2 linked regions of the Oryctolagus cuniculus genome follow. The protein of the gene in region 2 binds, or shares a complex with, the protein of the main gene of each other region. Links are inferred from orthologs where the notes say so. Each region holds a gene or a part of one and is shown on either strand. Other genes may lie near its edges. The genes, in order: COQ4 and COQ7.

Region 1 (3,805 bases), on a different chromosome or scaffold from region 2:
TGTTTACTAGCCACTTTAATAAGAGGATAAGAGCACAAAGAAACAGGATTGAAGGTTGATTGTATTTTTACATTTTTTATATATTAAATAAACTTTAAAAAATATTTATTTATTTGAAAGGCAGTTAGAGAAAGAGGAGAGATCTTCCATCTGGTGGTTCACCCCCCAGATGGCCGCACCAGCCAGCACTGGGCCAGACTGAAGCCGGGAATCAGGAGCTTCATCCAGGTCCCCCATGTGGGTGGCAGGACCCAAACACTTGGGCCATCTGCTGCTGCTTTTCCCAGGCCACCAGCAGGGCGCTGGATCAGCAGTGGAGCAGCCGGGACACCAGCCAGTGCCCACACGGGATGCTGACATCACAGTCAGCAGCTTTGCCCACTGTGCCATAGAACGGGCCCCTGTTTTTATTTGAGAGACAGAGAGACACAGAGACTAGAAGAGAGCTCTTCCATCTGCTGATGTAGCCCCTAAATGCCTGTGGTAACCAGGGACTGGGCCAGGCCAAAGCCAGGAGCCAGGAACTCTGTGCAGGTCCTCCAGGTGGATGGCAGGGCCTGACTGCCTGGGCCCCCCGCCGCCTGCCAGAGTTAGCAGGAGGCCGGGACCTGAACCCAGGCATTGCGGTTTGGGATGTGGATGTCCAAGCAGTGTCATAACTCGTGCCAGCGGCTGTCTCAGGGTTAGTTGTAATAATACATGTTGTTGAATATATCTAAAATAATACCGTTTAAGTAAGTGGTATTTTTAAATTGCTGCGGTTTCATCTTCATGCTTCAGTCTGAAGTCTCCCGTGTACTGCGTGCACACAAAACTCCCCAGTTGGCATTTGTCCCAATTCGAGGCTCAGTGGCCACATTGGGCTGACGTCTGCCATCCTGGACAGCACAGGTGTAGGAGACATGAGTCACGCACACTAAACAGCAAGGTACAGAGGCTGCCAGAGCCCCCCCCCCCGCACCTGTCAGTCAAGGTCAAGGCTGCCAGAGCCCTCCCCCCACCTGTCAGTCAAGGTCAAGGCTGCCAGAGCCCCCCCCCCCCGCACCTGTCAGTCAAGGTACAGAGGCTGCCAGAGGGCCCCCCCCCCGCACCTGTCAGTCAAGGTACAGAGGCTGCCAGAGCCCCCACACCTGTCAGTCAAGGTCAGGGACATCCCCCCGGGTGGGGGAAACCTGACCAGGGCATGCGTGAGAAGTAGGGACTGTCAGGTGAAGACGGGGTCGTGGGAGAGAGCACTCCAGACAGCAGCCTGTACTGAGGATCAGGGGCCTACAGGCCTGTTCTTAGTTGTTTTTGTTTAAGCTGTTGACTTATTTACTTGAAAGGCAGAGTAACAGAGGAGAGCTTCTACCCACCAGTTTACTCCCTAGAGGCCTACAACACCCAGGGCTGAGTCTGTCCTGGGCAGGAACCAGGGACTCCAGCCAGGTCTCCCACATGGGTGGCAGGAGCCCAAGGACTCGGGCCATCAGCCGTGGCTCCCCAGGTGGGTTAGCAGGGAGCTGGATTGGAAGCAGAGCAGCCAGGACCCAAAGCACTGCTCTGATGGGGGATGTGGGTGTCACGAGTGGTGGCTTGCCCCGCTGCAACAGGCCTGCCCAGATCGATTGCCTGAAGCTGAGTCGTGTTAGGTGCGCTCAGGCTGTGCTGCCGTGGGCCTCCAGGCTGTCGTCATTTGGCAAACACAAACTCTGTACCCATTAAACAGCTGCCCGTTCCTGGGGCCCTTTGCTAGGGCTTCCAACAGGATGCAAAGCTGATGTGTGATTTGGAGTAAGCAGAGGGGTGCCGTCTCCCCGCCTGCCCTGCCCAAGCCTCCCCTGCTGGCAGGGGTGCACAGAAGCTGCAAGCTTTCTGGGGGGAGCTGCGTTGGGTGGGAGGAGTTCGAGGGGAGGCTGGAGAGGTGGGCCCTGGGCAGAGTGGGAGGAGGTCTAGGGGAGGCTCCCGGCTGTCAGAGGGTCTCCCCAGACACCCGAGCGCCCACCCGCTTCGTGGACGACGAGGAGCTGGCGTACGTGATCCAGCGGTACCGGGAGGTGCACGACATGCTCCACACCCTGCTGGGGATGCCCACCAACATTCTGGGTGAGTGAGTGGCAGCCAGCCGGCCGCGTGGCGGGGTCGGGGGCGGGGCTCCCCAGCGCCTCCGGCTCCAGCCCCGCCCACCACCGGCTGGCTCAGTGTCTTGCTTCCTGCTCTGCCCAAACATCTCCGTGGCATCTCTACCGCTCAGCCCTCTCCTCCATCCCGTCTGCCCCTTCTGGCTTCTGCACCGATGTCACAGTGTCCACACAGAGCTCCCCGCTCTGAACCCCCTGCAGCTCCCCGGCTGGGCCTCTCAGTCCTCGCATTCTGACCTTTCCAAGTGCTAGCCTTTGACCCCCTGCCCCAGGCCGAGCCCCAGGGCCCTGCACAGGCCAGGACTGGGCACAGCTGATCCCTGGTAGAGACTGGAGAGGAGCAGACGCCTCTCCAGGCCCTACCAGCGGCACCTCTGGCCTCTCCTAGCCCTGCTCACCTCCCACCCTGTCCCTCACCCCCAGGGGAGATCGTGGTGAAGTGGTTTGAGGCTGTGCAGACCGGCTTGCCCATGTGCATCCTGGGTGCACTCTTTGGCCCGATCCGGCTCAGCGCTCCGTACGTGTTCAAGGGGGCGGGACGTGGAGACTTGGGAATGGGGAGGGCGCGGCCCCTGAGCAGCCCTGGTGGTTTTCCAGGAAGCAGTGGTGGAAAGGACGAGGCAGGGATGAGGGCGGCCTGGTGTCTCCAGGGCAGTGGACGGAGCCTGGAGCCCAGGCTGGGTCAGAATGACTGGTGTCAGGGGAAAGCAAGTTCGGGTTCCGGAGTTGTGTAGCCCTCAGTTGAAGTCTGGGCCTCGGCACGTCTGGGAGGTGTGGCTTTGGGCATAAGATCGACCTCGCCGAGTTTCTGTTCCCGCACCTGAGAGGTGGGCATCGATGGCTGCCTCCTCTCGGGCAGGAAGCGCACTGAGCGGTGGGGTGCCCAGAGCTGCCGGCCTCGGGCCTCATGCTGTCTCCTCTGCTGTCCGCAGGCGCCTGCGCGTGCTGGTCTCGGAGCTGATCCCCTGGGCGGTGCAGAACGGGCGCAGGGCCCCGTGTGTCCTCAACCTGTACTACGAGCGGCGCTGGGAGCAGCCCCTGAGCGCTCTGCGGGCGGAGCTGGGCATCACGGCCCCCCCCAGGGACGTCCAGCGCCTGGCCCAGGCCTGAGCTGCTGAGCAGCAGGGTCTGGCCTGCCCCCCCCCCCACCTCTGTTCCTTCGTGGTGAACGCTGACCCTTGGACATCATTCATCTTAGTTGTCATTATCTCCACTGAGTGGCCTTGAGGGCCAGTCCAGGAGGAAGCGGGCAGCACAGTGGGGCTCCCGGGGGGCTGGGAGTGAGTGAGGAACAGACGTGTCTCAGGCCTGCTCCTGCCCCTCCCCGCCAGCCCTGCTGTCCTGCGTGTCCTGGCTGTACCCAGTTCCAGAGGCCTGGGAAGACAGAGGTGGGGGTGGGGGCGAGTCTGCCGTCCCAATAAAGGCTCCCCCCACAGTGCAAACGTCTGCCGGCCCTGCCTCCACCTAGTGCTGGCCGCAGCCCCCCAGCGCTGCAGGTGGAAACCCTGTCCCAACCTGAGCTTCCCCTGCTCGTCCCCGCTCCTGTGGTCTGAGGTCCGGCTGAGTGGGGTTCACATTCCCAGCTGCTCCTCCGGGTTCTAGCGGAAGAGAAAGCAAGTTCTTTGTGCTTTCTGAACGCCCGCTCCTTCACCATGAAAGGGGTCACAAACAGCACCCCCGGAGCT
Region 2 (3,284 bases):
GGGCTTGCGTAGGACTTGTCTCCCCAGAACTGCAAGCCTCTGACACTCTGCTGTCTTCCTGTCAGTGGTCAGTGGATTAGGGTGGAGCCTTGGTCTAATCACGGCGTCTGATAGGTGGGTCAGGGGTGGTCTTCAGGCCACCGGGGGTGTGTCCTCCTGTGAAAGGGTGGATCACTGAAGTTCTGGTTCTGCCTCACTGTTCCTCCACACCTGCCGTGAGGAGCTCCCCGCAGACACTGGACGATGGGACCGCCCAGCCCTGAACTGCAGCCTGCAAACTGGATGGGGACAAGCCTTTCCCTCCCAATGAGCTCCTCTTGGGTGTTTTGGTTAAAGTAACAAAACGTGATCTGATACAGTGACCATGTACTGATGGACTTCCTATTCGTGCTTGGTCAGTCTTAAACCCCTCCTAGTTTTAAATTTCTTTTCATTTTCAGTAAACTCAAGTTTGACTGCTGGAGGAGAAATCGGGAGAGCACACAACCAGTAGCTTCACCTGCTGTACTGGAACAGCGCAGGGAACTGTCAGCCTCACAGCGAGAGCAAAAGCAACACCGAACTCTTTATTAATGCAAAAACAGGACAGAAACAACAGAATTAACAATGAGGACTGTACAGCTCCTTCTCCGTCCAAGCCACTGGCGAAATGGCTGTCCCGCCTCCCCGAGCTGGCTACGGGGACACAGCTCAGAGTCTCTCTGACAAAGAGATGGCCACGCTGCAGCCGGCTTGGATGATGCTCTTCAGGACGGTGTACGCCGGGGCCTGCGGCACAGCAAGAGATGAAAGAAAGGCATCACGTGCTTGTCTTGTACTCGGACGACCCAGGGCTAGTGGGGCAGGGCTTGGGGTTCTCTGGGTAACAGACTCGAGAAACACTTTAATTTGGGGGCAGATACAGCTGTGCCAGGGCCTAGTTGTGTGCCAGGGAAAGGGAGAGAGGCCTCTGCTCCGGCCCAAACCCTGGAATCAGCTGGTGTCTCACAGCGGAGGAGAAAGGTGCCCTGGGCCCAGAGGATACACGGCCCTCCCGGGAGCAGTGGGGCTGCCTGTCTGTCACAGCGACCTGGCCCCTTTCTTCCCGCGGGCTGCCATGTTAAGGTTTACTTTCCTGGGACCAGAAACCTTTGCCCTTAACCTGCAAGCACAAGGAAAGGCAGGCCCTACCCGCTCTGCGTCGTGCTCAAGGCCGAGGTCGTGGTGCTCAAGCTCTTCGTCCCGGAACTTCCGTATCACCTGGTCAAACAGAAGGCAGGCGGCGCAGCTCGCACCCGACTCACCTGCTCATCGGTCTCACGGAGAGGCCGAGGCCCCAGGTTAGCCCAAGACAGCCGCAGGCAAACGCTGCCTGCTAAGGGCTGCTCACACAGGCTCCACTGCAACCACTCGGTTCTGCCCTGGTGGTGGGGAGGGAGGCAGCCTAGACACGCAAACAAGTGGGTGTGGCTGTTAAATCTTGATTTATAGAGACAGGTGGTCCGATGCAGGCCAGTTTGCCAACCTCTGATCTGTTAAAAGACTAAAGAGGGCCCAGTGCTGTGGCGTAGCAGGTTAAGCTGCCGCCTGAGACAATGGCATCCATATGAGCACAGGTTCAAGTCCCAGCTGCTCCTCTTCCAATCCAGCTCTCTGCTAATAGGCCTGGGCAAAGCAGCAGAAGATGGCTCAAGTGCTTGGGCCCCTGCACCCACGTGGGAGACCCAGAAGAAGCTCCTGACTCCTGGCTTCAGCCTAGTCCAGCCCTGGCCGTGGCAGCTATCTGGGGAGTAAACCAGGAGACAGAAGCTCATCTGTGTCTCTCTCCCCTCTCTGTAACTCCTTCAAATAAATAAATCTTAAAAAAAAAAAAAAAAAAAAAAGACTAAAGAGCAGGGCATTTAGCCAGCAGTTAGAACCTCAGTTAAGATTCCATCTTTTTTTTTTTTTTTTTAAAGATTTATTTATTTGAAAGTCAGAGTTACAGAAAGAAGGAGAGGCAGAGAGAGAGAGGGAGAGACAAGAGAGGTCTTTTATCTGATGGTTCACTCCCCAATTAGCTGCAACAGCTGGAGCTGCGCCAATCCGAAGCCAGAAGCCAGGAGCTTCTTCCTGGTCTCTCATGTGGGTGCAGGGGCCCAAGGACTTGGGCCATCTTCCACTGCTTTCCCAGGCCACAGCAGAGAGCTGGATCGGAAGTGGAGCACTTGGGTCTCGAACCGGCGTCCATATGGGATGCCGGCGCTTCAGGCCAGGGTGTTAACCCGCTGCGCCACAGCGCCGGCCCCAGGATTCCATCTTAAATAAATCCCATGCTTGGCTCCTGCTCCTGCCTCCAGCTTCCTGCCAGTGCAGCTCCTGGGAGGCAGCAGTGAGGGCTCAAGTAACGGGGCTCCTGACACCCACCCGGGAGACCTGGCTGGAGTTCCTGGCTCCCAGCTTTGGCCCCTGCCCAGCCGTGGTCACTGTGAGCATTTGGCAGGGAACCAGGGGACAGGAACTCACTCTGTCCCCGTGTTTCTTTCAAATAAGTAAGTAAACAGTTCCCTTATTTGCTGTGAAAAATCATCTGTGGCTATCCATTCATTCACGTAAGGGCGTCGCACTCACAGCATTGTACCAGTGATATGGAGTGCAGGGGTGGACACAGGCAGGCCTCGGGGCAGGCGACAGTGGCTCGAGTCCTGGCTCCACGCTCGCTGTGTGACCAGGGCAGACAGCTTTCCTTCTCTGTGCCTCCATGTGCTCCGGGGCGCTGCCCCAGACCCCCACGCCCTTCCCGAGGACCATCAAGTACCTGCAGCAGCTCCCCGTATTTCGCAGGGTCCTCCTCCACCAGCGTCCTGATCTGGTTGTTGTAGTGGTGAGCTATGGATTCCTCCACCGCCACCGTGCAGGCCATGGCGCCCTCCTTCCCCAGCAGGGCGGTTCCGGCCCCTGAAACAGCCACAGCCAGAGCGGTCAGGGATGGGGCGGCCACCGCGGGAAAGGGAGCCGGTCTGAGGCCGGGCTGCTCGCCCTCGGGGCCGCTGACATCTGGGGCTGCACGGATCTTTGCTGAGGAGGCTGTGCTGGGCACCGCAGGACATCCTACAGCGTCCCCGACCTCTGCCCCTCACTGTCAGCAGCACCTCTGAGAGGATCTGTGGATACTGCCACGTGTCCTCTGGGGGACAGACTCGCCCCAGGCTTAGCCCCACTGCTCGAGGACCCCAGGGTAACGCCACACAGTGAGAGAGCTCTTCTCTGCACAGCGCCCGTCCTACCTCCTGACTGTGGCCAAGAGACGGGCTGCGTTCGGGGGT

The links.
Region 1: COQ7 (region 2) and COQ4 share a complex: the UniProt entries of both Homo sapiens proteins name them as parts of the multi-subunit COQ enzyme complex. The link is inferred for Oryctolagus cuniculus from reciprocal best matches to the Homo sapiens genes COQ7 and COQ4.

The regions. Positions count from the first base shown.
Region 1 is NC_091432.1:231,640,795-231,644,599, forward strand, and holds the end of COQ4 (ubiquinone biosynthesis protein COQ4 homolog, mitochondrial), read left to right. Parts: intron 1-1,955; coding exon 1,956-2,085; intron 2,086-2,543; coding exon 2,544-2,637; intron 2,638-3,052; coding exon 3,053-3,230; 3' UTR 3,231-3,562; downstream 3,563-3,805. UniProt on the Homo sapiens protein: Lyase that catalyzes the C1-decarboxylation of 4-hydroxy-3-methoxy-5-(all-trans-decaprenyl)benzoic acid into 2-methoxy-6-(all-trans-decaprenyl)phenol during ubiquinone biosynthesis.
Region 2 is NC_091450.1:21,341,964-21,345,247, forward strand, and holds the end of COQ7 (5-demethoxyubiquinone hydroxylase, mitochondrial), read right to left. Parts: intron 2,917-3,284; coding exon 2,777-2,916; exon of another isoform or gene 2,187-2,776; intron 1,685-2,186; exon of another isoform or gene 1,240-1,684; coding exon 1,171-1,239; intron 769-1,170; coding exon 691-768; 3' UTR 546-690; downstream 1-545. UniProt on the Homo sapiens protein: Catalyzes the hydroxylation of the 5-methoxy-2-methyl-3-(all-trans-polyprenyl)benzoquinone at the C6 position and participates in the biosynthesis of ubiquinone.